Lonchura striata: one gene and its partners. The protein of the gene in region 2 binds, or shares a complex with, the protein of the main gene of each other region. Links are inferred from orthologs where the notes say so. Each region holds a gene or a part of one and is shown on either strand. Other genes may lie near its edges.

The links.
Region 1: SMARCD1 (region 2) and PBRM1 share a complex: the UniProt entries of both Homo sapiens proteins name them as parts of the SWI/SNF-B (PBAF) chromatin remodeling complex. The link is inferred for Lonchura striata from reciprocal best matches to the Homo sapiens genes SMARCD1 and PBRM1.
Region 3: SMARCD1 (region 2) and ARID1B share a complex: the UniProt entries of both Homo sapiens proteins name them as parts of the neuron-specific chromatin remodeling complex. The link is inferred for Lonchura striata from reciprocal best matches to the Homo sapiens genes SMARCD1 and ARID1B.
Region 4: SMARCD1 (region 2) and DPF3 share a complex: the UniProt entries of both Homo sapiens proteins name them as parts of the BAF complex. The link is inferred for Lonchura striata from reciprocal best matches to the Homo sapiens genes SMARCD1 and DPF3.

Annotation. Positions count from the first base shown.
Region 1 is NC_134614.1:9,332,000-9,339,057, forward strand, and holds the start of PBRM1 (protein polybromo-1), read left to right. Parts: upstream 1-4,056; 5' UTR 4,057-4,170; intron 4,171-6,483; 5' UTR 6,484-6,567; coding exon 6,568-6,615; intron 6,616-7,058. Other genes in the region: GNL3 (guanine nucleotide-binding protein-like 3), read right to left, coding at 1-117, 553-640, 1,113-1,248, 1,511-1,614, 2,067-2,202, 2,465-2,548, 2,708-2,821, 3,405-3,542 and 2 more. UniProt on the Homo sapiens protein: Involved in transcriptional activation and repression of select genes by chromatin remodeling (alteration of DNA-nucleosome topology). Required for the stability of the SWI/SNF chromatin remodeling complex SWI/SNF-B (PBAF).
Region 2 is NC_134629.1:8,796,704-8,804,253, forward strand, and holds the start of SMARCD1 (SWI/SNF-related matrix-associated actin-dependent regulator of chromatin subfamily D member 1), read left to right. Parts: upstream 1-4,547; coding exon 4,548-4,712; intron 4,713-4,786; coding exon 4,787-4,974; intron 4,975-5,761; coding exon 5,762-5,804; intron 5,805-5,888; coding exon 5,889-6,011; intron 6,012-6,630; coding exon 6,631-6,753; intron 6,754-7,237; coding exon 7,238-7,354; intron 7,355-7,550. UniProt on the Homo sapiens protein: Involved in transcriptional activation and repression of select genes by chromatin remodeling (alteration of DNA-nucleosome topology).
Region 3 is NC_134605.1:54,590,824-54,598,767, reverse strand, and holds the start of ARID1B (AT-rich interactive domain-containing protein 1B), read left to right. Parts: upstream 1-4,944; 5' UTR 4,945-5,017; coding exon 5,018-6,769; intron 6,770-7,944. UniProt on the Homo sapiens protein: Involved in transcriptional activation and repression of select genes by chromatin remodeling (alteration of DNA-nucleosome topology).
Region 4 is NC_134608.1:35,481,760-35,489,294, reverse strand, and holds the start of DPF3 (zinc finger protein DPF3), read left to right. Parts: upstream 1-4,528; 5' UTR 4,529-4,590; coding exon 4,591-4,622; intron 4,623-7,535. UniProt on the Homo sapiens protein: Belongs to the neuron-specific chromatin remodeling complex (nBAF complex).

The DNA of each region.
Region 1 (7,058 bases), on a different chromosome or scaffold from region 2:
TCAGGGTCTATGATACTTCTCAAGGCCAGAGTGAGGGCACTGTTAGAAGGATCTGCAATTATACTTGGACTGTCCAGCATCTTTGTCTGCTTATCAAGGTGCACAATTTGCATGGACCTGTTCAGAGAAAAATGCACTGTGAGCAGATAATCAGTGAAGGACTGGTAATGGTGAGGGATGCAAGACACAAAGCTCAGTGTTGGATTGAATGTACTTCATAAAGTCAGTTTCAATGTTTTGTCATCATGTGCTTTGCGTAGGATAGAAATTTAAACAAACAAAACAAACAAAATTTAAACAAACAAAACAACCTTCAAGCAAAAGCATACATATTCCACAATATAGAATGCTTTGCAAAACATCAAGTTTATACACTATCCCCTGGAGAAAGCTTGCATCACACATACCAATACCTTTCATCTTGCAAATTTTAATGTGCATTTAAAACTGCACACTGGGTGTGCTTTGTCCCTAATGGACTAAAACACAAACTCATGGTAACTGAAACACAACAAACAAGGAAAGGAACAGCTTTTATCAGACTGAGCTTACTTGGTAACACCTCTTGTCAGGCCAACATTACAAGCACGCTTTCCTTTGAGACTGTTGATTATGCTGCTCTTTCCCACATTAGGGAAACCTGAGGAAAAATCACATAAATCCTTTTAAGTTAATAAGAAAACAGCTTTTTAACACCAATCAAAACAGCTTCTTCCAGGTAGCTTTGCTAACGTAAGCATCAGTGTGAGATCAGAGTTGGATCTGAAGTCTTCACTACAGAAGTAAGACAAAGAATGTATCCTCATTTCTCACACTTGTAGGATTTGTGGTGCTATACTCCATGGGATTTTTGTCAGGCATGGGGAAGGCAGGGCCAGTGGAGCACATATCCTGCCTTCTTTGTTCTCCCACAGATCCCCGTGCTGCACATGGCAGTGCACCATGGATCCCTGGCAGCTGAAGCACTACAACACTGAGAGTCTTGGAGCAAAGAACAGTGACTAGAAAGCTCATTAGCAAACCAGGTGTCAGCAGTTTTACCCAGTCCAGGAATACAGGATCCCAAAGCTTTATAGGAGAAAGAAACTCCTCCTGTTTCTCCAAACACTTACCTACAACCCCAACCTGAATGGCTTTGTCTTGGGTCTTGCCATACCCTTGAAGAAGCTTCAAAAGGCATTTGCTTCCAAAATACTGAGTGGTTTCTGCGAAATCAACACGTGCATGTCTTTTTGTGACCTGTTCCTGCTACCAGATTCAAAGGCAAAAAAAAGCCCATGGTCAGGAGCTATTAAGGAAGATAAAATATGGATACTTAGATTTATTAATCTACTGTAATTTCCGTGCTAAGAATTCTCCCACTGTATTGCAAAGCTCAATTGAAGTGTAAAGGCACATCCATCAACCAAAAAGTGCAACCAAACCAGGGAGAAAGGAATTTTAAAGATGTTCCAACATGTATGACTGCAAACACATGAACTTTTCGTGGGACAGCCTGCAGTGCTCTTACCATAGTCTTGTCCTTCATAATTGTTGCTGACTTAAAAGCAACTGTTGGAAACTCCTTCTTCAAATAATTCAACCATTTCTCTATGTTGTTCTTTGGCACCAAATCTGGAAAGAAGAGCAGTTCTTTCACTCCTTAAATTAATCCTATCATGACAAATACCATTTGGCTGAGAACTCTAATATGAAGTACTGGATACCTTCCCCAAAGGCACACAGAGTCTCTCTTTCTGCCTTAGCAGAACATATCACAATTACATTTCTGGCCTCTGTATTAGGCTTTTAATGCTGGGCTCTGGCTAGAAGACTTTGCATGGTACAGAATGATCTGTGAAAGATTCTGACTTCTACCACAGAGTTCCCTTTGCTCTTCTTGTTGCTCTTGGTATTTTGTTTTCTTTAATTAGCTACTGGTACTGGGTAATTTCCAGCCTTTGTAGTGAGCTCAGAGTTGGATCTCATGTCTTCAATGGAATCTCAGATTCCTTTAAAATCTTCATAGCTCACCCACCACAGAAACACAGTGCCAGTAACACTTTGAGAAAACCTGTGTTTCTTACCAATTTTGTTCAGAACCAAGAGCAGCTTTTTGTTCCCTCCAGAGGAAGTGACAGCTTGCTCCAGCTGAGGACACCTGCAGCCCATTGGATCTCTGGCATCCAAAACCTCCAGAACTACATCTGAGGCCTCAAGCACCTGGGTCAGAAAAAAGACAGGAATCCAACAAGACATCACAGACCAGATTACAATTCTGCTATAGCTGTGGCTTACAAAAATAGTTAACATTTTCTGTTGTAAAATCCCATCAGTGTTCTAGTTTATCACAGACAAACTTTGTGCTCTAAACAGTAATACAAAAAAAGCAAAATAACAAGTGATCTTATTGCTGACTCTTTAGTGATATAAAATATCTATATATCTATATCTAATGATAAAAAAAATAGTTAAAGCATTTCACCTTCATAAGCTCCCTGCAGAATGATTTCTTAGAATTTTTATTCAGTGGTTTTTTAGTCTTTCCTTTAGATTTGCCAGGGGAGTCCTAAAGCAAATAAAAACAAAAGGAAATTATTTAAATGAGAATTAGTGTCTACTACTTGTGTGCATATTCAGCATGAAAATGTAAACTGCTGCTTAAGAAGGTGCAGTTTCAGGATGACTTCTCCAGGTTCAAGGAATCAAAATCATACAGGACCCCTACCTTTCCCTCTGCTTTCTCCTTGATTGTGACTGCATTCTTTTTAGCTTCCAGCTTCCTCTTCTTTTCATGTTCTTTCTGTCTATTGAGCTTCTGCTTTTGTTTCAGTTCTTCAAGCTGATCACAAACAAAAACCCAGGGCAGATAAAACATCTTCGAAGGTGCTAAGGAAGAATGTTCTTTCTCCCCATTCCTGACCCAAGCTCCTGAGCCAGCTCAGTTAGAAGTCCTGGCTGTCCAAGTAACTCTGGGAACTCTTTTTTTGCATCCTACCCAGAGGCAGCCATGCATTTGCTTGATCCCAGAACAGCAGCGCTGCAGCCACCACTACAGCTGACAAATGCCACATTAGTGCACACTGCAGACAGCAGATCCCGATTTTCTGTGTAATCACATAATGCCATGATTTAACTCCCAGCACTCTGATGGGACATTTCTGTATCCCAGCACCACAGGGAATTCTGACTGCATTAGAAAAGACACTTCCAGCATGCTCCCATCCCAGTGAGGAAACGAAGGTTAAAAATAAAAGAGCAAATCAATGCACACGGTACGGTGCTGGAAATAAATACATCATTTTTCCAAAGCACGAGTTTGCTGGGACCATCTACCATGACTGCTCCTCTGAGTGCACACAAAGCTTCCTTACAGAAGGGGATGCTCTCAGTTCTTGTTCTCTTTACCGAAAACTGTGTTTTACCCTCTGCTTTCTTTGCTCCGCTTCCCGCAGCAGCTCTTCCTTAAACGGCGCAGCACTGGGAATTCCGGGGTCTTTCTTGGGCTTCTTGTGGCCGCGTTTCTTGGCCTCCTTGCGGACTTTCCGGTGGTGTTCTCTTATCTGAGGGAAGCACAAGAAATGAGGGCAGGCACAAGAAACGTTCTCACTCTGAGGCCCAAAACTTCAGCGCAGCGGCCCCAAAATCGCCGAACGCGGCGCGGGGGCCGCGCTGGGCCGGGCCTCACCTTCTTCTGGATCTTGTAGCGCTTGTGGCAGCTCAGCCTCTTGCTCGCCTTCCGCAGCTCTGCAACGCACCGCGCCCGTCAGCGCCGCAAACATCCCCCGGCCCCGACTCCCGCCTCCTCCACCGCTGCCGCTCGCTCGGCCACGGGCGGCCGCCGCCCCCCGGTGCCGGGCCGCCGCCCGCGCCCTCCCCGTGCCGTTCCCGCCCGCTCGGTGCCCGTGCCCGTGCCCGTCCCGGAGCCGCTCCCGGCGCTCACTCGGCCGCTTCATGGCGCCGCCACGTGCTCCCGCCGGCGGGCGCTGCCGTAAAGCGCGCCGGCGCTGCCCCGCCGGGGTGTCGCGCGGGCTCGGCGCGTTGGGCGGCCGGGCGCGCTTTGCGGCAGCGGCGGCGGCGGCACCGGCGGTGTCGGACGGGCGGTACCGGCGGGACGGGCCGGGCCGGGCGGACCCCGCGCACCCACCCCGGGTCGGCCGCGGCTGCGGGAGGCGGAGCGGAGCCGGCGGGGTGAGCGGCGCGGGCGGGGCGCGGGCCGGAGCTTGGAGGCCGCTGCCTCCCTTTGTGTGGCGGCGCCGCCCGAGCGCGCAGCGGCCCCGGCGCGCCGGGCCCGGGGCACCGAGCGCCGCCGGCCCCCGTCACCTGCCCGGGCCCGGGTGCGCCTCAGCCCCTCCTCCCCGCCCCGCTCCCGCCGTGTTCCCGTGCCGGCGCCGCCCGGGCCCGCGCGCTGAGCGCGGCGGGTCGTGCCCCGCGGGGCGGGCCCGGGACCCCGTCCTGGCCGCCCGGTGCCGGGAAAGGCTTTTCTTTGTTTCCTGCCGGGGATAGCGCCTCACCTCCCGGGCAGGGCTCCGGCGCCTCGGGCAGTTCCGGATTTGCTGCCTTTGTTCCTTGTCCCGGTGCCGGTAAAACGATGGATGTGTTGTCCCTCTCGCTTTCCCGTCAGCTTTGCCCTGTTACCGTGCCTGGCTGCTGCCAGCCCCCTCTTCCCATCCCGTAGCAGCTTTCAATGGGATCGGTAACCGGGGGAAATTCCGGCTTTTCCCTCCCCTGTTCCCTTTGCGTTTCCCTCCCCTGTTCCCTTTGCTAAATTTACCGTGTTTCGTGTTTCTGGTGAAACGTGGGAGATCCTGATAGCAATAAGTACTACCCGTGGTATCTGTTGGCTTTTCGCTTTCCTCTGCCTGGAGGCAGAAAATGAACCTCTAGTGTGTTAGAACGTTTTATTTTAAGTGTGTTATGTCCGACGAGTGTAAAACCTGTGGGTGTAGGGAGGTTGGAGTGGGTGACACTTGTTGTGGTCCTTCCCTACAGCTTTTGGGAGGGACAGCCTTCCTTCCTTCCCCCCGTTGTGTATATCAGTATACATGTGAATTAGTAATGGCCAAAGCCTTTCTTGCTGTGGTTTTGTGACATTTTTATGGCTGGTGGGGGCAATTACCGAGGAGATGCTCAAGCTGCTGTTGAATTGGAGGTGGTCAGTGGTAGCAGTGGAGATTCTTGGTGTGACTGTTGAGAGACCTGTGAGCCAGCAGTGCAATTGCAGAAGAAACTCAGGGAGAGAGGTTCTTCAGCAAAGCTGTGTTTCTGTGCACAGCTGAGTTCTCTGTGCTTAGGAGTGTGGCAGTTTAGGAAGAAGTTTGTGTTTTGGAGCCTCACCTTCAGTGAGTGGTACATCAGCAGGTCTCTCCCTGAGTGTTTGTGATGTTGTCCAGACTGATGCATGTTTTACAGGGTTATTAGAGGAGAAAAACGTGTTTTGGAGGCTGTGTGAGTGGTGAGGGTACCTTGATCACAGCAGTGTCAGAGTATGGCTGAGATCCACAGCATTGTGCCCCGGACAGTACACATGGAGCAGCTGATGTACAGTCTGCAGGCAGTTCTGGTTGGGAGCTTCCCAGATCTTTATTTCAGGATGGGACTGGTCTGAGTGTACTCTTGGGTTCCTGGTTGAAGCAGAATTATTGATTCTGGTAGTCCCTCCTGCCTTTCCTCCACAACCAAGGGCTTGTGTTTCCCAGCACCTGCCTGGTGGAGCCACTCCAGACTGTAGCCCTCAGATGGAAGTTGGAGGCTGTGCCAAGGCTTGAGGCTGTTGTCAGTTCCCAAAATGAATTGCCTGCTGATAAACCACAGAGCTTCTCTGCATGTTCATGTTACGAGAATGTTCAGAGTGCTGAACTGTAAAAGAACCTCTCTGGGGTTTGATTGAAGGCAGGAGTTGGAAGAACTACGCAGAAGCAAACATTTTGCTATTAAATGGTTCTGTGTATTTCACATGGAATTTCTGTGAAAAAAATAAGGCTTGGAGGCTTAGAAATTGAAACTTTTTTTTTTTTTTTAGCGTATGGCTGCATACTTACTGCTTACTTCTGAGTATAAAAGTCTACTCTGAAGAATTTTGGAGGTGCATCATCTTAGAGTTTAATAAATGCTTGTTGACCTTAAGATTATGTTCTTATAAGCACTGTACTGCTTTGCATTCTGTAAGTTTTACAGCTTTCTGGTTTGTACTCTCAGGTCAGGTATCACTTCTGTTTACTTTCTGCTCTTGATGAATCATTCTCTAGCAAGTGGCGGTGAAATCTGTAATGCATATTCAGGAACATGAGAGAAATGTATTTTTACTGTGACAATGACAGAAGTGTCTAGCATTCTGTGTACAGAATTACTTTGTAGAGTTTCTGCTGGGCTATAAAAAGTTGCCTTCTGTTTCTTGCTTTTTTTCTCTGTCACTGTAATTATCCACTTTATTCTTTGATTTTATTCTTTATCTACCTAGTCTGAATTTTCTTCTCTCTCTCTTTGCTTTTTCTTGTCTTCCAGTTGTGGCTGTACTAACACCATTACTGGTTTGCCACTCTTAGAGTGTCCCCTTCTCGCAGTATCTGTGCTTGCCCATCAGACACTATGAGGAGATTGGCTTTTCGAGGTGCTGGTTCTACTCTGGTAAATCTGGTAAATTATTGATTGTATCTCCATCCCTCTGCCTTGGCCTTTTGCTTTTCTTTTTCCTAGCTGTTAATTATTCCTACCTTACTCATCTCATGTGTGTGCCTGAAGTTGTCTCTAAGAGAAATGCTTTAATGCAGTTACCTCGTGCTGCCATACCTTGTCAACCATCTGAGTGCCTCCTGAAAGAAATCCCTGGATTTGGTTGGAAAATGGGGATGGGCTGGGATAGATGCATCTGTTCTGTGCTCAGCCTTTGAGATAGCCACAAATAAAGATACGTTTCTGATGCTGTCACTGGAAGTTGGGAAAGAGCCAATAACTTGTTCCATAAATTACCATAGTTGTTGGATGGTGGTTATTCATTTGTCACTGCTTGTGTTGGTAAATGCAAAACTATGGCCAGAAGAGGAGGGAGCTTTTTCTGTTTCTCCATGGTTGAGCCATTC
Region 2 (7,550 bases):
CCAAACCCAGCCATCCTCGGGGAGAAAGGCACAAGGAAACCCCTGGCCCCATTCATCCCCAGCCGGGGATGCCCCCCTGGCACCGCCGTGGCGGGGAAGGCAGCAGAGCCCCAACACCCCCGGGGTTCAGGGGGGCCCTGGGGCCACGGCTCCAGCCCCGCTGAGCCCCGGCAGCCCTGGCCCGGGGGGTTTGGGGTGTCTGTGGGTTCCCAGCGCCGTGCTGCCCCTCCCTGGCACAGCCCTGCCCTGGCTGGGGTCCGTGGCCACCAGGTCACTGCCCCCTGGGCCTGTCAGTGCCCACCAGTCCCCTCCGGGGTCCCCGTTGGGCCCCCCCAGCCCCCAGGCCAGAGCCCTCCCCGGGCCCAAAGTGCTACTTATCTTTAAGAGCTTTTGCAATAAGTCTTTTTAGTAATTTTTTTTTTTTTTCTAAACGGCAGTTTTGGTTTTTATTCTTGTCATTTTAATTCTTATTATTTGCTTCCTGACCAAAATTAGGAACTGGGGGTCATTCCTTTGTATCCAGCAATCACCCAAAGACGACGGCTCGGCCACATCCATAAATTTTCTTATGGATTTCTCCTAATGTTTCATCATGTTTCATTTATTTATTTTCTTTCTTTATCTTTCCCATTCAAGCTTTTAAAGATGGGGCTGGGATTTGACCTTGAGGCTCACCTGTTGAAGAAAACTCTTTTTTGTTATTATGTCATCGGCATTTTATATTTCTTATATATAATATATATGACTATATATATATGTGTACATATATATATATATATCTATATGCATCATGCCACTGTAGATACCCATCCAGTAGCATTTAGGCCTTGTTCTTGTGCCATTTTTTTTTTTTTTTCTGTTACTGATCTCTGAATGCCTTCAAGTGTATAAAGTGTGGAATTCTCTCCGGTATCTGTACTATGTACACACATTTTCATAGGAAGCACAATAAGATGACAGATGCATTGTACATCAATACCTGCTACTCTTAACAACGATGATATAAAGAATGATATAAATGATATAACTCCCCCATGCCAAGCCTTTCTCTCTTGCTGAGCTGCTGGAAATGCTCCCCCGAGGAGGCAGGTGGGGACAGCCTCATCCCGGGATGCTCCTGGAGCCCAGGGAAAGGGAAGGGGAGGAAAAAGCTTCGGGCCAGACTTCAGGAGCAGGGGCAGAGCTGAGGCTGGGCTGAGCCTCCCTTTCCTGGGAGCTCCTGGTGCCTCATCGAGCTCCAGCCTCGCTGCCTTCCCAAGGAACACAGGGCTGGAGGAGGGAAATGATTCCTCTTCCTGAGCAGGGAAAGGAGAATTAACACTCACAGAGCTGTTAATCCCTGACAGCTCCGTGGTTTGGGACCCACAGGAGTCACCAGGTGGAATTTCATCCTGGGAGCACAACCCAAATATAAACACACACACCTTTTGTCCTAAAAATTTCCAGCTACAAAGAGCAGTAGTAACAACAGAGCAGATCCAACAGAGGGCATCCAGAAAAAGCCCTCAGGACTCCATGGAGATGGAATAATAGGGAGTGGGAGTGGGCAGGGAACGCTGAAATGCCAACGCACACCCTCCTCCCCCGGTCCCTTGGCTCCGACCGTGTCCCCTGGCTCCTGGAAATGGCAGAAATGCAGTTTTGCATCTCAACGAGAACAGTCTCACCCCGCTCTGGCGCTTCCCGGCCAGAGCTGGAGGAGCAAAGGGCAGGGGGTGGGATTGGAAGGAGAACGGACGGGCCAGGAGGGCGTTAATGACCCCGATAATCGCAGCCGAGCCGTGCCCGCTCCCTCCCCGCGGCATCCCCGGCTCCGGGGGCTGGATATCCCCCCGGCTCCGGGGGCTGGATATCCCCCCGGCTCCGGGGGCTGTAATCCCCCCGGCTCCGGGGGCTGGATATCCCCCCGGCTCCGGGAGCTGTAGTCCCCCCGGCTCTAGGGGCTGCAATCCCCCCGGCTCCAGGGCCTGTAGTCCCCCAGCTCCGGGGGCTGTAATCCCCCCGGCTCCGGGGGCTGGATATCCCCCCGGCTCCGGGGGCTGTAATCCCCCGGCTCCGGGGGCTGTAATACCCCCGGCTCCGCGGGCTGTAGTCCCCCGGCTCCGGGGGCTGTAATCCTCCGGCTCTGGGGGCTGCAATCCCCCCAGCTCCGCGGGCTGTAATCCCCCCGGCTCCGGGGGCTGTAGTCCCCCGGCTCCGCGGGCTGTAGTCCCCCGGCTCCGCGGGCTGTAATCCCCCCGGCTCCGCGGGCTGTAGTCCCCCGGCTCCGCGGGCTGTAATCCCCCCGGCTCCGGGGGCTGTAATCCCCCCGGCTCTGGGGGCTGTAATCCCCCCGGCTCCGGGGGCTGTAATCCCCCAGCTCCGGGGGCTGTAGTCCCCCGGCTCCGGGGGCTGTAGTCCCCCGGCTCCGGGGGCTGTAATACCCCCGGCTCCGGGGGCTGTAATCCTCCGGCTCCGGGGGCTGTAATCCGCCCGGCTCCGGGGGCTGTAGTCCCCCCGGCTCCGGGGGCTGTAATACCCCCGGCTCCGGGGGCTGTAATACCCCGGCTCCGGGGGCTGTAGTCCCCCGGCTCCGCGGGCTGTAGTCCCCCCGGCTCTGGGGGCTGTAATACCCCGGCTCCGGGGGCTGGATATCCCCCCGGCTCCGGGGGCTGTAATCCCTCGGCTGCGCCGGGAGCAGGTCACCCCGTCCATCTGTCACAGAGCGGCTCTCCGGGAGCTGTCTGAGCCCCAGGGGCAGCACAGCCCTGCAATTCCCGTGGGATGCAGCAGGTACCACCGGGATGGGACGTGCAGAAGCTGCTCTTTGCAGGCACAAGACTCCATCGTGTCCATTGGAGCATCGGGGGACAGCAGGAGTGGGCTGGGGACATCAGCCCCGTGGGGATGCGGGGCTTCAGGCTGTTTGGGATCTGGAGACCCTCAGTCTGTTCAGGATCTGAAGTTGTTTGAGATACAGGCAGCCTCACCCTGACCAGGATTTAGGGAGCCTCTGGAGATCTAGGGAGTTCTGGGGACCTTCAGCCCGTTCAGGATCCACGGAGACTCAGCCCATGGAGACACCCAGCCCACTCAGGCTCTGTGGAGATCCCGAGATTGCACCACCTCCTGTCGCAGGTCAGAATTCCCCGTCTCCCCTCGCTGGCTGCTGGTGACAGCAGGCACCGAGGGACAATGCCACAGCCCCGGCTGCTGCCAAAGTTTCCATGGAGCCACCAGCAGGTGCAGGGGAGGCATTTCCAAAGCTGTTCCACCAAACCCCTCCGGACAGGAGAAAGGAGGAAGGGCACAATGAGGTCACCCCAGAGCCTGTCCAGAATGAACAATCCCAATTCTCCCAGTCTTTCCTCACAGCAGAGCTGCTCCATCCCTCGGATCATCCTGGTGCCTCCTCCTGACTCGCTCCAGCAGCTCCACATCCTCCCTGGGCTGGGACCTCCAGGCTGGAGGCAGCACTCATCAGATGATCATCATTAATTGTTTAATTAATACTCGTGGTGTGATTGCACACTTGGCTTTTTCCACGGATTAATGCTGACTGGATTTGTGTCCCTTTTCTCTCTGGGCACAAGAAACCGCTTCAGGGAAAAGGAACTTAATGTTAATACTTGCAGAAAGTGGCCTTTAACTCCAACCCCAGGGGAGACAGGAATCTTTTTCCTGGTGCTCTGCCTGAACCTGCACAAACTGGACCCATTTGTGGCCATTTGTTTTCCCCATAAACTTCATCCCTAAGAATCCCTGAGGTTGGAAAAGATCACCAAGTCCAAACTGTGACTGATCCCAACTGAGTTCCACGTCCAGCTTTTCCCTGGACATCTCCAGGGATGGTGACTCCCCCATCTCTCAGGACAGCCCCTCACCACCCTTTCCATGGAGAAATTCCTCCTGAATGTAACAGGGGGGAGCTCAGGTGAGGGGTGTCACTGCCACACCTGCACATCGGGGCCCTCCATGCCTGGGAAAGGCACATCCACCTCCCTCCGAGCACATCCCGGAGCAAGGGAGGCTCCAGCACCAGGGAACAGGGGCTGTAATCACAGCTGGGGAGTGGAGGCTGACACCCCCGAGCCTTCCCAGTGTTTGGGATCATCCTGCACCCCCCAGTCCCACCCCTCACTGTCCCCATTCCCTTCCCTCACCCCCAGTCCCACCCCTCACTGTCCCCATTCCCTTTCCTCACCCCCAGTCCCACCCCTCACTGTCCCCATTCCCTTTCCTCACCCCCAGTCCCACCCCTCACTGTCCCCATTCCCTTCCCTCACCCCCAGTCCCACCCCTCACTGTCCCCATTCCCTTTCCTCACCCCCAGTCCCACCCCTCACTGTCCCCATTCCCTTTCCTCACCCCCAGTCCCACCCCTCACTGTCCCCATTCCCTTCCCGCACCCCCAGTCCCTCACGGCCCCGAATCGCCCCCCCAATCGCCGCCGCTCGGTCCTCCCCCGGCAGGGGGCGCTGCGGGCGGCGGCCGCGGGCGGCTCCTCCCCGGCGCTCCGCGCGCCGCGCGCGGCCGCTTCCGGTTCCGCTCCCTTTGTGCGAGACAAGATGGCGGCGCGGGCCGGGTTCCAGTCGGGGCCTGCGAGCGGCGGCGGCGCTGGGGCCGCGCCCGGGGCCGCGCTGGGCCCCGGAGCGCCGGGCGGGGCGGTGCGCATGGGCCCGGCGCCGGGGCAGGGCCTGTACCGCTCGCCGTTGCCCGGAGCCGCCTACCCGGTGAGGCGGGGCGGCGCGGGGCGGGGCGCGGCGCCGGGCGCGGCGGGCGCTGACCGAGTCTGTTCTCTCCGCAGCGCCCCGGGATGCTGCCGGGCGGCCGCCTGGCGCCGCAGGGCCCGGCCATGGGGCCTCCCGGGTACGGAGGGAGCCCAGCGGTGCGGCCCGCGCTGGCGCAGGCCGGGCTGGACCAGGCTCGCAAGCGGCCTGCGCCGCAGCAGCTTCAGCAGGTGCAGCCGCAGGCGGTGCCCAACCGCAACCACAAGTAAGGCACGGGAGAGGGCGCATCCCGGGGCTATCGGGGACATCTCCGGCTCCTGGGGACATCCCGGACAATGGGAGTATCTCGGGGCAGCAGCAGCAACATCCCCTGGGCTGTCGTGGGGATCGGGAGGAATTTCTTCATGGAAATGGCCAGGCTTTGGAGGGGGCTGCCCAGGAAGGTGGTGGAGTTCCCATCCCTGGAGGTTTCCAAAGAATGATGGACGTGGCACTGAGTGCTCTGGGTTGGTGACAAGGTGGGGATCGGGTACAGCTTGGAGTCAAGGGTCTGGAATGGGTCTTTTCCAATCTCAAGGATTTTGGAGTTCTTGGTCCTCCTGCAGTGCTGAAGGGTCCTGTCAGGTCCTTGTGCATTCCCCTGGGACTGGAGGACAACGCTGGGCAGGGCAGGGCTGAGTTTATGTCACATGCCTGCATCCTGATGTGATGGCCCAGTGAGAATGAAATTTGTCCTGGATTTAAAATGCTGTCCCTGGAAAAGGCAATCCAAAGTTGATTGAGGCTGGAGGTCACTTGGTGTGGATGTTGTGTCAAGTCCTCCTTCCCAAGGGGTGAACCTTCTTTCCAACAGAGGCAGCCTGTTTTTAATAGATGTAATTCCTGTTCCTGTGCTCAGAAGGGTGGGGAACATTGAGATAACCAGTTAGCCCCACTGGAGCAGGGCCCAGCTAACTGGGGAGCCCCTGGCCACTCGGTGCTGCAGGTCTTTGAGCTCCTGTGCCCAGAGCCATTCCCATTTTCACGCCTCTTTTGTCTCTTGCCCCTGTCAGTGCCAAGAAGAAGAAGATGGCAGATAAAATCCTCCCACAGCGGGTGAGTGGGGTACGGGGAGGGGCTCGGGGGGAGGTGAGGCAGCCTGGGGAGCTGGTGGGCATTTCCATCCTTGCTTGGCCACAGATCCGTGAGCTCGTGCCCGAATCCCAGGCCTACATGGACCTGCTGGCCTTCGAGAGGAAGCTGGACCAGACCATCATGAGGAAGCGCCTGGACATCCAGGAGGCTCTGAAACGTCCCATCAAGGTAAGGGGAGTCTGGGTTGTCTCCAGGCTTTGGAAGCTCCTGAGTTCAGGCAGCAGGAGGGCACTGAAGGGTTGTGTCCTCTGAGTGTGGCATATCAGAGGTCCCAGTGCTCTGGACACAGCCAGGGACTGGTGTCGCTATTGGACGCGAGTACACAGAAGCTTGGTAAGTTTAAAAGAGAAAAAGAGCTAATTTTATTTCTGACCTCATAATAAATAGAATTCTAAAAGTGACAGTGGATTGGAGGATGAAATTGCCACCTCTCCAACCACACTGGTCAAACCAGCAGTCCATCAATTCTCTCTTCCCACAAAGGAGAATGCAAAACAATCATTATTTACATGGACAACGTGTGAGAACTCCAGTAGAAATCTGTAAACATTATCAGAAGGTTAAAGAAGTTCTATGAGAACTTTAAAACTTTCAAAATATCTATAAAAGAAAACACTTTTAAAAATCAGGGTGACAGAGTGGGACCAGAGTGGGTCCTCGCTGTGTGCTCCAGGAGAGGGAGAATGCGAGGCAGCTGAAAACACTGAGCTCGGTTGTAGCAAAGCCTGTGCAGGACAGCTGGCCCTGTGCAGGAGGATTGACGCTGAGCTGATGCTTTTTCTCCTAGCAAAAGCGAAAGCTGCGTATTTTTATCTCCAACACCTTCAACCCCGCCAAGTCGGACGCGGAGGACGGCGAAGGAACCGTCGCCTCCTGGGAGCTTCGGGTGGAAGGACGGCTGTTGGAGGATGTAAGTGGGAAGTGCCCATCCTCAGAGGACACTGTGGATGTGGAGTTGGCAATGAAACCAGTTTCCCAGTGTCTGAGAGCACAGCTGGGGCTTGATATCCTCCTTCATCTCTGTTTCCCAAGGAGTCTGATGGTGACGAGACCGAGAGCCCAGCTTGGAGACCGATGGGTGTCCCCATGGCAGGACATGAATTGTCCAAAGTTCTTAGAGTTGTGAGAATCACTGGTGAGAGCAGCTCAGTGGCACTTGTGTCCCCGGCTCTGAGAACCAGGGCACTGGCATTGTACGTAACTGCTGAGGGGTTTAACTCCTGCGAGCTCATCTTTAACTCCAGTCTTTCCCTTTCTGACTTGGAAACTTGATTTTTGAGCACACGTTGGTGAATTCAGGTGTTCAGAACTTAGAGGAGCTGTTGTGCACGGTGGCTGTGCTTGAGTGCTGAGACTTGCTGCCCTAACCCTCTTCCTCCCTGTGTTGCTTGCAGTCTGCTCTGTCCAAATATGATGCCACCAAGCAGAAAAGGAAATTTTCGTCCTTCTTTAAATCTCTGGTCATTGAACTTGATAAAGACCTGTATGGCCCTGACAATCACCTAGTAGAGGTGAGCTGCTTTTTGCTGTGTTTCCTCTAAAAAGTGGGTTGGTGTTTCAGCAGGTGGGGTTTGTGTGTTATTTATAACTTGGGAGGTGGGAATCCTTGAGGCTTCTAGGAGCCAGGAGCTCTTGAATTCTCACTTTGGCTTTTCCTCTCACTTCCTGAAGGTCAGAACAAATGTACTGATTCTTGTTTCAAACTCT
Region 3 (7,944 bases), on a different chromosome or scaffold from region 2:
TAAGGTACCAATCTCATTTATTTTATGAGAGTGAAAGCTGTGTACTGTCAGTTTGACTGTTCCTTCAACGTATCAGTCAACCTGGCATGCTACAAGTGGCAAAAGGAAGGACCTCCAAACCAGTGTGTAGTGAGCAACAAATATTTCTTTTGGTTTCCCATATATCTCTTGCACATCAGAAAAGATTTGTAAAAGGCAGGAGAATGGGAAAGAAACTTGGCAGAGAACTCTATGATTACTGTTATACTGATTCTTGTTTAACTTTTCTAATTTATAAAAAATGTGATCATAAATTATTAATTCAAAGGAAGGCCAGCCTTTTCCTAAATTTCTCCAAAATGCAATGATGTTCTCAAACATTGGCACAGGATCCAGAAATATTAGAGTAACTCAGTTTAAAGGCTTAGATTTCACTGGTAGGTGAACCCTGAAATCAACAATCCTTCTATTACTGCCAAATGCAAGATTTTGTTTTGGCTTAGACAATTGGTTGGACCCCTATCTCACCAAAACAGAGACACAAGAGCTGTTTTTTCACAGAGGCCTCAGTCCACAGAAGCACAGGACTTAAGCACAGAAGCACAGGGCTTAAGTTTAAGGAAGCAAGTGATCTTACTGACTTCAATGGATGATTCGCATTTGTAAAATTGAGGCATTTAAGCAGTCTATTCAAGTGATCTAACTCTAGCGGGTTGCATCTTCATAATAAAATAATGTATGACATTTTCGAGATGGTGATGGTGATGTTGTAAAGTCCTTTTGTTCACACATTGCCAGAAGAAATGGATTAAATTGCCCAGGATTAGTAGCTGCTAAAGATTGGATTTTAATTAATTGGTACAATGTGTCACTCTCTGCGTGTTTTAGGCCATGATCTGTTGGCATAAACCACATTTTTTTCAAAGTTCACTTTGTCCAGCTAAAATAAAATTTTTACACTTACCTTACAGGCTTTACACCTAACAGAATCTGGCTTATCAGCTGGACATCTATGGCACTAGTTTATTTTTTACATTTGTGACTGAAATGTAAATATTACATAATAAAGAAAACAACCCTGTGTTATATTTATATGTTGACCACATAAGGGATCTTTTAAAGCAAAATTCCATTACTATAGTTCTAAATGCCAGGCTAAAACAACCCTGAGCTGGCTGCCTACTTTTCTGTGATCTGATTTATGCCTTATTGAAATAAATTAAAAGATTTGCACTGACTTCAGAATGATTTTGATTGGATGTTTAACTAGTAATAGAAGTGATAATTTAATAAAAGTCCCCATACTTCTCTCTTTTTTTCTCATTAAATCAAATGCAAATGTAAAAGAAGGAAATTGAGAATTACAGTGAATTTGACAACAGTTTCATTAAATTGTGCAGTGTATTTAACCATAAAGCACAACAAGATCCCAATGAAAAGCTCCTTCTTTTGTACACAGAGATTTTTCAGATTCCTGTGCACACCAATGTCAAATCCAACAGGGTCTTGAAACTCAGATTGGATTTTTACCAAAAAAATTTAACATATTTTTCCCAATACCTCTAACATAACATCTCAGAGATATTACAATATTGGTTTGTTTTCCGTCTCTCTCTTCAGTGTTACTCTTTGTATGACTTGGAAGGCCAAACAGAAGGATGGCTGCTGTACTGAGGGGAAAAGCAGTAACTTTCATGGGCTTGAGATACAGACAGGTGGCCTAGGGTGTCTGTATAAATGCTGTAGCCAATGGTGTAAACAAATTACCAACAGCAAGTTTAGAAAATTATGTTGTTTATTTTGATGAGGGATCCTAGAGCACCACAGTTTATAATTTATCAAGAAAAATAAAGAGAAATAAATTACACTTGGACAACACTGGTTTATAGAAAATAATCAAATGGAAGGAACAATGAAAATAAAACTAAAGTTGAAACTGCGCACTTGCGATATCAAATATCAATGCAATCACTTTGCAGCAGATAATATGCACGGTAATTAAAGCTTTTTTACATTATATTATAATAAATTCATAATTCATGCATACAATGAGAGCTTTTGGAAAGAAGCATTTGAATTTAACAAACACTACCACTCATCATCTGAGCAAAGATGGCAAAAGGAATTTCAACATTATTTGCGCTCTAGAAAATTGAACCATCGTTGTTGCTTTGTGTTGTGCTTCCCTTGCACAGACTGCAGTGCCTTCTGTCTGCTTTAGGGTGTGGCATCTGCCATTGGGGAGGAAAAACTGGCATGTGTTGCCTTTTATAGCAGACTGATTTCATTGTGCTGAGGGCCTCAATTTTATAGCCTCTTAGTTCCAATCTTGTAGCCGAGTTGCTGAAACAAATGGGAGGAAAAGGAGTTAGTGGTACGAACTCTTCAGTTTAAAGCCTCGTGCTTTTTTTGTCCTTTTCCCAGAGAAAACATTTCAAAGTAAATCTGTGTTAAACTTTTGCGGGTTATTTTCCCGATTGGAAAGAGTTGCGGAGTGTGTCAGGAAGTACTGCGATCTGCAGCCCGGGCACTATCAGCACATCTTAGCAGATCATCGATACACGTATTTTTGCTCAAATAGAAATGTCTCAAAGTATAAGTGTTTAATTGATTTTATATTTTATGTTAGAGTACACATGTAAAGAAATACACACAAGGAGAAGTCTATATTTTTATTTGCATATGAAAGACTTTTAAAATCAACTTAGGTGGTTTAATGTGTATAATTAGCGTGCATTTGAATATAGAAAAGAAGAAAATCCAGGAGATAATGTCAAAAAGGCTCACTAACAAAGATGTAGTATTCTCTTGGCAAAAGCAGATGAATGATTTGGCATGAATTCATCTTACGGTTCTGTTATTCTCTCTCCTACAAAGATGATATATCCCTTTCTAGCAGTTTGCATAGAATTGCAATTTGTTGTTGTTACAGACTGTAATGACCCTTGGGTATGCACCTGATTCCCCCCGCTAGAATTACTCACCATTTTTTTTTTTCCCACTCTGTGTTTATATATGTGTAGCCATACAACATTTTTGCACTTGCAAAGGATACAAAAAAATCCAAAAAACCACAAAACCACCAACCAACAAAAAAAAACCAAACCCCACAACTGTAAAACAGAAGTATTAGCAAGATGTACTTCTCGAGCACTGAGACTTTTCAAAACTAACTCCCTAATGCAAATCATAATATTTTTGACTTTTCAGACAGAACTAAAATTAATAGACGCTGGAATCACACTGCTCATACATTTATCAATAATCTTTACATGTAACTCAACATTAGAGCATGAAGCTTCTGCTCCTTTAATATTTTCACAGTGAATTCAAAAAAGCCTACCTACTCATGACAGCATCTTTCTTGATATGCTTTTTTCTCTACCATTATGATTGTATCTCCTATTTATCCATTTTGAAATTTGAAAACGTGCTTAACTTTAACAGACCGTATAAATATATTAATTTAAAACATCGTGGTTTAGACCCTTGCTGTTTTGAAAACGTTCGCTAATATCCCAGTTTGCTGTATTCATAGCCAAGTATTTAATCTCCCAAATGCTTTCATTAGTTCAACGTAATGTGTGACTATTACCTTTTGTTATACTAAGGTATCCCTTGTATTAAGATAGTTATAAAAAAACCTTCAAACCATTCTAGTTCAAAAATGTAGGTCAGCAGCAGCTTTCCATTTGGAGCAAGTTACTCAGATTATATATTTTGGGTTTTGTGTTACTACGTTTACATGAGTGTCTTGTGCATACTGGAAATTATATTGTTTGGGGAATCAATTATGAGACTGAAAATGTCTCTGGCTCTTTGATCATCTCTTGTTGAACTGCAAATAAGTACACAGAACATATTGAAAACGGCCCTATATATAAAAGCATCATCAGTGCAAATGACCGTTAGAATTTGGAGACAGCTGGACAATGTGGACAACTGCAAAGATGCTACCACTGCAGAATTGTAGGTTAAATGTTATAACCGTCTATACATACAAATATAAATCTTCAAGGGGCGGGTGGCTTGTGGGGGGGGAATCCAAAACAAGTCTAATTTCTCCGTCACACGGACAAACGTGTCCCTGCCCTCGGAACAGGAGGCGGCTGCTGAGCACGGAACACGGGGCTGGGGGGCAGCGTGCGGCCCCCCAAAGTTTGACCGATCCATCTTCTCCGGCACAGCTGGAGCGCATGGCGGCTCCTCGCCTCCCTCCCGCCGAACCGGCCCGCGCGGGGCAGCGCCGCCGGCGGCACCCTCGGCCCCGCAGCACCGGGGACAGTCCCGCTCCCCGCCCCGCCCAGCGGCGCCCGTCGGGGCCCGCCTCGACCCCTCGCTCGGAGCAGCTCCCGCGGGTTCGGTGCTCCGCGCAGGCCGCGACCCCCGGCGCGCACACGGGCGGGACCCCGCTGGGAGCGGGGGGACCCGCGAGGGCCGCGCCCCCCATCCCGCCGCGCTGCCGGGAGAGCAGGGAGGGGAGCGGGCGCCCGATCGAGTCCAGCGTGGAGTCCAGTCCGCGTTTTGCGGGTGCGCGGGAGCGATCGGGGCGGAGGGGGCGATGGCTGCCGGCGCTGGCTCGCTCGCTCGCTCATGCCATGCTGGGCCAGCGCGGCTCCGGCAGACGTGTGTTTACCCATATCCGGGTTAGGGAGGAAAGGAGGAGAAAAAAAAAAGTTTCATTTAAACCTGAACAAAAAACTTTCAACGTGAAATCACACAGCGGGAACGGGCACGGACCGTAAGGCGTTCTTACCATTTCTAACCTCAACCACGGACTCGGGGAGGGAAATCGCTGTAACTCGGTGCGTGCGGAGCGGTCCGCAGGGGATACTCTGGGCTCAGTCAAGTCCCTGCCCCGGCCGCTTCCCCTTCTGCCCCTCTCCTCTCCTTCCCCCCACCCCTCTGCTCACCCCCCATTTTTCAGGGTGGGAGTAGATTTTTTTTTTGTTTGTTTAGTTTTTCAGTTTTGGGGTTTTTTAAATTTTTCTGTAGTTACTATTATCTGCACCAATTTCTCCGGACTCGCAATGTTGCGATGATCATGGCCGCGCAAGTCGCAGCGGCTCCGGCGAGTGCGAACAACAGCAAGGGCAAAGCCCCGAGCCTGCCGAGCGGCCTGGGCCCAGAGCGAGGCCCGGGGGGGGCCGGGGCTCCCGGGCCGGGCCCCGCACTGGGGGTCGGCGAGGGGAGTCCGGCCGGCAGCAACAGCGTGAATAATTTAGATCACCATCTCCACCACCACCACCGCGGCGAGCCGCCGAACATGGCCAATAACGCGGCTCCCGCCGCTGCCGCCGGTAACAACAACAACGCCAGCGGCGGCGGTGGCGGCTCCTCCTCGGAGCCGGCTCTGAAGGAAGGTGGAAGCTCCTCGGAGTTATCTTCTTCGTCTTCTTCCTCCTCCTCCTCCTCCTCCTCCAACCCGGGCTCGGCTATGGAGACGGGGCTGCTCCCCAACCACAAGCTGAAGAGCGTCGGAGGCGATCACCCCGCCGCGCCGCCCCACCACCACCATGCCCACCACCCGCATCACCATGCCCACCACCACCATGCCCACCACCCGCACCACCACCACCATGCACTACAGCAGCAGCTAAATCAATTCCCGCCGCCGCCGCCGCAGCAGCCGCCGCCTCAGCACCATCCCGTGCAGAATAACAACAGCAGCCTCGGCGGCGGCGGCGGCGGCAGCGGCAGCAACAACAACGGCGGTGGCGGTGGCGGCGCTGCTCAGCCCAGTGCAGACATGGAGCAGCAGCAACATGGAGGAAAAGACAGTGTTTTGGGCGCTCAGGCCGAGCCCACCCAGCAGCCGCAGCAAATGCTGAATAAAGGCGCCGACGAGGAGGAGATGCCCGGCAAGATGGGCGAGCCCATCGGCGGCCGCTACGACCACCCCGGCTTGGGACCCCTGGGCGGACAGCAGCAGCCCCAGCAGCCGCCCCCGAGCGCTGGGAGCGGCGGCGGCGGCCTCGGCGGCGGCGGCGGGAGCGGGGGAGGCGGCGGCGGCCCCTCCGCGGTGGGTGTCTCGGAGTTCAATAGCTATTATGGCAACCCTGCCCCTGCCCCTGCCAGCAGCGCTACGGCGAGCCGCGCCGGGCCTTGCTTTGATCAACATGGCGGACAACAAAGCCCTGGGATGGGGATAATGCACCCCACGGCGGCCCCCAACAGCATGGACCCCCTGCAGAACTCCCACGAAGGGTACCCCAACAGCCAGTACAACCACTACCCGGGCTACGGCCGCGGCCCCGGCGGCGGCGGCGCGGGCGGCGGCGGCGGCGCGGGAGCCGTGGCGGCGGCGGCGGCGGCCGCTGGGGCAGGCGGCGGCGGCTACGGGGGCTCCGCGGCGGGATACGGGGTGCTGAGCTCCCCGAGGCAGCCCGGCGGCGGCATGATGATGGGCCCCGGCGGCGGAGCCGGCCTCGGCAAGGCTGGTGCCGGCGCGGCGGCGGCGGCCGGCGGCTTTGCGCGGTTCTCCGGGCAGAACCAGCACCCGTCCGGGGCCACCCCTACCCTGAACCAGCTGCTCACGTCCCCCAGCCCCATGATGCGGAGCTACGGCAGCAGCTACCCCGACTACAGCAGCCCCAGCGCCCCGCCGCAACCCCAGCCCCAGGCAGCGGCGGCCGCCCCGGGAAGCCAGCAGGCAGCGGCGGGCATGGGCATGGGCAAGGACATGGGCGCCCAGTACGGAGCGGCGAACCCGGCCTGGGCAGCGGCTCAACAAAGGAACCACCCGGCGATGAGCCCCGGGAACACCGGGCAGGCCATCAGCAGGACCCAGGTAACTCCCCGCGCTCGGTTAATGACGGTTCGTGTCTGTGTCGCTCGTGTCGGGGTCTTAGTTTCTTTATAATTCACTTTCTTTCTCTCCCCCACCCCCTTTTTTTTGTATTTTATTTTTTTTTCTCTTTACCCCCCCCTTCCCCCCTCCCCCCCCCCCCCCCCCCGTTCTCTTCTGGGCCACTTTTGCCCCTCGCTGCCTCCGTAGCGAGGGTGAGCTGTGCACAATGCGTTGGGGCTGGAGGCACCGGAGTGTGGCTTTCGCTGCCGAAATTAGGTTGTTCTCAGACCCAATTAATATTTTCTCCCACCACTTTGAAACAGTGTCGGAGAGACGCAGGGCCCGGAGGACAAACAGCTCGGGACGGACGGGGGCGGGGGATTGGATTTTGTAACCGGAGTGCCGGACCGGGGGGCTCCCGGGGGATAACGTCCATTATCTTTCACGGGGCCTTTTTTTCCTTCTCTCTTTAACCCGTTGCCTTTTTTTTTTTTTTTTTTTTTTTTTTTTTTTTTTTTTCGATCTCCGAGCAGAACGAGTTGCGCCGTTGCGCGCTCTCAGCAAATTAGTTTGTCACTGATTGGAGTTACCGCAGTGAGATCCACGTAACGCGGCCGCGCTCCTTTCCCTGTGGGAAGAGCGCGCGCGCGCGTGTGTGCGCGCGTGTGCGCCCGGTCCGCGCGGGTCGTCCCGGCCCGGTGACCTGCAGGGGACTCGCCCGCCGGCAGGAGCGTGCCCGGTGCGCGGACGCGTAATTGCCTTTCACTTCTCCGCAAACACACGCGGAAATTAAAAAAAAAAAAAAAAAAAAAAAAGAAAAAAGGAGAAAGGGGAAAAAAAAAAAAAAAAGAGGGAAAAGTCCTTGGCGTAAGCGATGGGGCGCGGGCACCGGCGCAGGCCGCCGCCCCCGCTCCCTCCCGCACTCCTCTCCCCCAGCCCCGGTAACTCCGGCGATCGATGGATGGATGGATCCGATCGATAGGCAGGCGCGATGATCGCGGGGCGGCGGGCGCGGCGTAGCGCCTTTCCGGGGCGGCGCGGCGCGGCGCGGCGCGGCAGGAATGCCGGCTGCCGGGCGCGACCCTTGGAGGAGCGTCCGGGTCTCCTCCGCCCGCCAGGTTGGGAATTTGAATTGTGGAGGTAAACTGGCTGCAACCGTCTCCCGACAGCTGCCT
Region 4 (7,535 bases), on a different chromosome or scaffold from region 2:
TGAGCCAGGCTCTGGGAACTTCTGTCTCCCCAAATTTTTGAAAGCTTCAGATTGAGGCCTCCATGTACATCTTACTACTAGAGACTCCTCTTTAGTGTTAAAATGTATTTTATCAGAATATCCCATTAAAAAATAGTGGGTTTGAGTCCAGACATCAGCATGCAAGTAATTAAAAACTGAACAGTGCATACAATAAAGAAAACTGGATAACAGAATCAGGCCTGAAATCAAGATACACTAAAGATGTCCAAGATTTGTTGCTATAAGTTTAGAGGGGAAATTTTGCTTAAGAAAAAAGCTAAAAATTTGAGGTCCCTTTCATGGATACAATTCCCAAAGTTGTGAAGAATGAATTGTTGGTGCCAGTTTTTACACAGTATAGCTCCATAGTTATCTTTGTTATGCTGACTATGTAATTTTTTTGGGAATGTGTCTGTAGAAGGCTGGTGTTGAGTCTGTAACACTGACACTCTGATATCTTTTCCTCCTTTTTCAGCTAAGCAACTATTGGTAAAGATCAAAGAAAGGGAGGAGGAGGGCTGACAAGAAACAGTGTATGAGAGATGCCTGCACAGCTTTAATAAATAAAAAGGGGTTAAGGCTTCAAATCTCTTGCAGGATATCTGTGCATGTGGGGCCCTGTTTTGCTGTAACAAGCTACATTATAGCACACTATCTTATTTAGACCTATATGATTCTGATACTTTGAATATTAATATATATTAACAAAAGAAAATTATAAATCACTAGAAATACCTGAGAATATTTAACAGTTGCTAATCTACCAGAAACCACTTTTTTTCAGCTCTGTTCTTTGTTTCCTTCCACAGCAAAATTAGATTTGTGGCTTTTAATGTTGGTGTCTAGTTTGTTTCACTTTCCAATTCACAAGAGTTGAGGAATATACGATAAGAACCTAACTTTCTTTCCCTCCAGAAAGCAGCAACTCTACGTTAAAACTTAACAAGATAAAACAGAAAGCAGAAGATAATAAGTACAAGGTAAAAATTCTTTCAAAGTTTGAAATATTGTCAGCTAAAATAAAGCTTTTCAGGGTTATGTAAATAGTAAAAATGTTTGAAACAGAGGCATCACACTTACCAATACACTGAGAAGATATGACACTGTGTTTCTTCTTCTTGAGTAGAGACAAGCTACAGTTCTGTATGAGGGGCTGGAGGTGAGGTGGTGGACTCCCTTCTAAAGCCCTGCTCACTCTGACCCTATAGATGCAGCATGCTCAGGCCTTGTGTTAATGCTACAGATGTTACCCCAATAGATTTGTGTCAAAACTTACCTTTTTCAAAATTTATGTGCTGGCTGTCCAAACATTTGGCAAGCTCTCGTTAAGAATATGCCCACCCAGGGCTTTTTATGCCATATACTTTTAAATTATTTATACTTTCTTGCAGCCTCCTTGCTATGTTTCAGGTGAGTGTGAATAAAACTAACAGTAACTAAGTACAAATGTAAAAATCCTGAAGTTGTGATTTAGTGTATACGTAACTGAGTGTGTCTCAACTTTGTTGGTCTTTCAGGATGTAAAACAACAGTAGCATTACTGATTAGTGACTTATGGTACATTAAAATCAGAAGAAAAATTAATCTAATAACCTACCAATGATGGACTGGTGTATATGTAAAAATGCAGGTAACTATGATGTGGCATGAAATTTTTATTAATACAGGTTTGTGATGTTCCCCCTGCTTGCAAACAGTGAACATGTAAACAAGTTCTGTAGTTCATTACAAGCAAAATGCCCATCAGTGCTCTGTGCTTTTTCTTTCAGCTAAAATGGTAACCTAACTGTTGTGGGATTCTGCATGAAAAACACTGTGGGCAAATTATATGGACGTGTGAGCAAAGCCTGATCTCTTCATTACTGCAGGTGAGACTTCCCACTGCTCTGATATGGCAGCTCTGTCCTTGGGTGTCCTGGAGATTCCTTTGAGTGAGGCAGTGCTGTTGACTGGCTCTCTTAGCCAGGAATGTGGGGTCTGCCTGGGAAAAGGGCTATCAACAATCCAAGGTCATCTGTGCCTGTTCTCACTGTTTGTTGCTTTTGCTGGTAGCTGATAAAAGCCCAACGTCTGAATAACAGGAGCAGCCAGGGAAGCCTGTATGGCTTCATCCCGTTTTTGCAATACACTCCCTGCCAAGCTGTACCAAGAGCTCATGGCCTGCAGAGCAGGAATGGGCCTATATATCCAACAATATAGGACCAGAGGGACTCATTAAACTTCTAAACATGACCTCAAACAGGGTTTCTTAATTATTTGAAAATGTCACGAGTTTGCATTAGAAAATCTCAGGGCTTTCTAGAGCTTGGTCAGATTTTCGTACCTTCTCTCAGTAACACAAATCTATCTCCTGTTCTGCAGTGTGATATGGTCCTAGGCTGTTTTTTTCTTATATGTGAAGCAAAATCATTATCCCACAAGTGAATATTGCCCATCCTACAGGAAGTACTCAAGTGTTTGCCATCAAGCAAATATCACAGCAACAAGAAAAGTCAAACCAGAAATCCTCGTATTAGTGAGATGGGGTGTAGGTTGCTAGTCTGTGGTCACCAGTTCAGGTGCATGCTATGCCATTTGCCATTTATTTCTTTGCAGCACACACATCAACTGTGTGCTTGTGACAAGTTGGCAGTTTGTGGTTAGCTTTTCCTGTGAGCAGTGAGAGGTACTATGCAGGGAGGGTCTGACGTTGCATTCAATGTCACCTGGACCACTATATATTAAATAATATAATGTAATATGATAATGGAAATGTTCTTAAAGATTACTTCCCAGAACTGTTTTGGGATAGATCTCAGCATCTTGGAAACTCTCCAGCTGACAGAAAGCTTATTTCTCCTAAGCAGTGCCTGTAACCAAATGGCTTAGATTGCTTTGATGGAAGAGATACTTCCCTCCAGGGATATACGCCTGGCACAGTACCTAAGTTGACCTAGTAGCGGGAATAAGTAAAGTTTCAGAAAGAGGGACACTAGACAGATCCTAAATTTTAACTTCTTGCAAACTTCTGATGAATCCTTAATGAACAGAAAACCGCTGCATTATACTTATGTACCTGTCTTCACTGTGAGTAACAGTCATACTCTTTCTGTTCTCCATTCCTCTTCCTTTTCTCTTTTGCCCTAGTATTGGAAAGTTTTATTTGTAAAGTAGTTGAGCAAGAGAGATTTTGGTTGTCTTTACTTTTTCAAGTTCAGTCCAGGAAGATTGCTATTTCTACTTCTGGTAATGTCTTACAAACATCACTATTTTCATTCTGTTATTCATTAAGTTGGGAATGAAAATGTTTTTCTAGTTTTTCTCACTTTTCCCTCTGCTTTGACAGTAGTGTCTTTTAATTGTCTTTAGTTGAGTTTCTTCTGAATGTATAGATGCAAAGAATGGCGATGTAGGCTTGATTTTGGTGGTGCTTCTTTGTGTTTTTTAGAAGGATGGAGGATGCCTGAAGGGAAACGAGGCTTTTGGGAGTGGAAGAAAAGTATGAGATGACAAAGTTGACATTGCTATCAGACAAGTAAAAAACTTGTTTGATTCTGCTCTTGTTGGCACCTAATTTACACTGGAGCAATTTCGTGAACTTCAGTGAGTTTACTTCTGAGAGTGAGATCAGTATCTGAGAGTGAGATCAGGATTGACACCTCTTAAATCACTTGGGTCGTGCTCCATAATTCATTCGCAAGTTCCTTTAATTAGTTGCAGGTAAACCCAGGCTTCCTGGAGTTCGCCGCCTCCCTAGGAATGGGCTCTGCGTGCTGCTCCCTGCCGCGCTCCGGGGTCCAGCCTCCGCCTTCTGTCTCACCGCCGGGCTGCATGTCCGGTGGGACGCGGGTCAGGGCTCTTCCCCTCGCGGCTCCCTGTGTCGGACGGAGACGGGGCCCGGCTCCCGGCGCGCCAGAAGTTGCTCTGTGGGAGAAAGTTGCGGGGCTGTGCAGGGCCGGCCGGGCGGTCCGGCCGCCGCGTGTTATGTAAGGGCGCAGGGGCTGCGGGCCGGGATGACTGACAGGGAGAGGGAAATTCCTGGGGGAGGGGGAGCGGGAGCGGCGCTGCCCTGAAGCCGCTGCCAGAACCGGCGGCTCACGGAGACCTGCGGGGAGCGCGGCCGCGCAGAAAGGGAAGCGGCGCGGGAGGGACGCTGCCGGGCAGCGTGCGGAGCGAGCGGGCAGCGCGGGCTCGTTCCCCCAGCGGGGCAAGCCGCCTGGGAAACCGGGGGCTAGCGGCGGCGGTGCGAGGGGACGAGGAACGAGCCCGGCTTCCCCTCTCCCGGCGCGGCGCGTTCGAGCCGGGGCCGGAGCGCGGCGGGGAAGTGCCTCGCTGGAGCCCGGGGTGCCCCCGGCGCAGCGGCGGCCTCGGCGGCGGCGCTGCCCCTTTAAGACCTGCTCGCCGCCAGTTCCAGGGAGAGGGAGTGACCTCTGGGCTTTGACAGCTCCCCTAATAACTAGCAGCGCCCGGCCCCGCCCCCGCCGCGCCATTGGCTGGCGGGCCGGTATGCCGCGCTGCCATTGGCTGGCCGCTTCCCCTGAGCGAACCTTTAGAACTCCGAGACACAATATTCTGTTACATTGTAGCAAAATGGCGACTGTCATTCACAACCCCCTGAAAGCGTAAGTAGGAATCAAAAATGTACATATTCCGCGTGGTTTAAATATGAAAAAAGGCGCCTTTCCGGCGCCGGCTGCCAGCCGGAGCCGGGTGCCGGCAGCCTCTCGGCGGGTCCCTCCTACCGCCCTCCTTTCTGCCTCAGCGGCTCGCTCGTTTTTTTGTGCAACACATCCCCGCGGCTCGCGCCGAAATTAACGAGGAAAAAATTGTTGGGTTAATTGGCGACCGGGCGCGGGGCGGGGGGCGTCGGGCCGGGGGGCGGCGGCGGGGAGCCCGCCCGGCGCTCCCGGAGCTCAGCGCGGGGTCGGCGGCGGCCGCGTCCCGCGGGGGTGCGCGCACTTGACAGCGTCCTGCCCCCGCTGCCCCGGCGGGCTGGCCCCGCCACCGCGCTCGGCGGGGCACCGACCGGCCCGCGGGGGCGCTCGGTGCGCGGTGCCTCCGCGCTCCCACCGCGGCTCGGAGTTGCCTCGGGAAATCTTTGGGGAGTTGGGATGTCTTGACGAAGCGACCCCCCTCGCTTCTCGGCTGGGCGGTCGGAAAGCGGGGCGGCGGGGGCTTTGCCGGTGCGCCTCGGCGCCCGTGCAGGAGAGGGAGCGGAGAGGCGAGGCAGGGAAGCAGACTTGGGTGAAATGAATGACTCGGGACTGCCGGTCGCTGATTTTGGGCAGGAAGTCCGGAGATCTGTTTTGCATATGACAGGCTTTCGCTTTTCAAAGTGGCAAAGAGAGTTGATTGTGTTTCCATCTTGAGAGCGGGCACAAGCCGCCGAGGGCTGTACGGACGGGGTCTGACCCCAGCTTGAGAGAGGGAGGGGGCAGGTACTTCTGCTGCGGAGGTATTCCGGGGCTCCCGGTCTGGAACTAGGGCTGATTTCTGAGGGGCACCGCGGGAGCCGGTTGTCGTCTTCTGGATCGCGTCCTTTATTTTCCTTGTGGTCTGCAGCGCACGCCGCTAATCCCCGAAGGCATTAGGGAGAGTGGGATTTGGCACCGTATGTGGGGAGCGGAGCTATCTTAACCTTTTTCAAACGACTTCCCTGCTAACGGGGGCAGCGCTCTTCCTAGTGAAGCAGGGAAGCAGAGTACCTGGCGGTGACGCTTCGCTTGCACTTTCTGGCTGCGCTGAGTGGGTGTTTTTATACCTTTGAGTTTTGTGAGATGAAATTAGGGCTGCGAGGTTTTTTCTTTTTCTTTTTTTTTTTTTTTTCTTTTTTTTTTTCTTTTTTTCTTTCCCGGCTCGAGTCTCTCCGCCTGGAGTTGGAAAAACACTTGAAGGTTTTTCCAGGGATTTCTGCCGCTGTGTCTCTGCGATCCAGAGGGAAAGGAAAGCCTCGAGCTGGGAAGGGGTGCTGACATGTTTATCAGCTTTCCTGCTCCGTCCTGGCAGAAAAACCTTTGCTTTCATTTACTCGCCCTCTCGGATATAAAAATCCGCGGGGAGAGGGGAGCGCAGTTGCAGGGGGTTAATCGAAGCAGTCCGAGTGTCCTCATGGGTGGGTGCCGAGGGACTGAACGCGCTCTGAAAACCGCGCGGCAGAGGCAGCGTTTCTCCCCCCGCGTTCGACGGCAGGTTTACGCTTGTGCAGGCGACAGCGATTTCTCCCCGCGCCCCTCCCGGCCGCCGGCCGCGGGCAGAGCACCCCGGGGCCGCACCGCCCGGCTTTGCACCTGGGCACGGAGCACCGCGGATGCGTGCGCCGTTCGCGGCTGCTGCCGGTAGCGGGGAAGCCCGGGCTCGGTGGCCCCTGGGGACGGCGAGAGGGAGGCGGGGAGCTCCCGGGAGCGGCCACGGGAGCACGGCTGGCGGCCCCGGCCCCCGCCCCGCCGGCGGACGGGACCTTGCCGCCTCGCACCGCACTTCGTGGCACCGTGGGGCTCCCGGCAGCCGCGGCGCTCCCTGCCGAAGGGCCGCTTGTGCCGAAATGAATCGGGGCCCGATCCCGCTGCTGCTGAAGTCTGGGAGGACAGGATGAGGCCATTTATAATTAGCTCCCTTCTCCTCCCCTCGCCCCTGGGGGGTGTGAGAGGAGGAAACAATAGACATCAAGTGCTGGTTTCGCTTTTCTCTGTGTGCCTTTTAAAGTACTAAGGCTATGTGGAGGAAGTAGAATTGGTACTGGCTGTCTGACACCATCTGTAATTTTGTTGACAACTTGTTTAATAAAACATTTTATAATTTTCACTTATTCTTTAAAGTTGCTGATCGGGAAACAATACACATGTAAATAAATTATGCATGGGATAAATTAGGACAAAAGCAGTAGGACACATAATAGGGGAGGGATGCAGTCCACATTGTTTTATCCTCATGTGTCCTTCCTGACAATGAACGGGAGCTGAATGACATTTGCATTTCCTCTGTCTGCGTTTTGATTGTATCTCAGAACCCACAAACGCCCCCTACAGAAACCGGCCACACAAAGGTTTTGCTCCGAAATGGGGGACAATGTAGGGACTGAGAAATCCTGGCTCAGGTATCAAGCAGCTCCTTGTGTATGCTTGTGCATTTAGGAGTGTCTAATATTCAGTTTGTCTCTGGCACTTGGACACACATGTGGCCTTGTTCATGCTACACTACTCTCTCTGAATAATGTATTCCAGTACCTGAGCATCTATGGGAATGCATTTCATAGAACAGCTCAGTGTGTGGAGTCCCTTATTAATGATTGGTTTCTCCCTACTCAACTTGCCTTTTCTCTGTCACTTTCTGGTTCTCTTTTGGTGCTTTCTTCCCTCTGCTCTTCTCCCCTTCACTTCCTCTGGTGCACCAGTTTACCTGACATGACTGTCTGTTATTTCTGCCATTTATTAGCTTGTTGTTTACGGTGCTACAGACAAAAATATCTGAGATCTAAGTTTAACAGATCTGCAAGGTAAAGGTAGCAGGTGTTTGGACAAGCACATGCTTCTTCATCT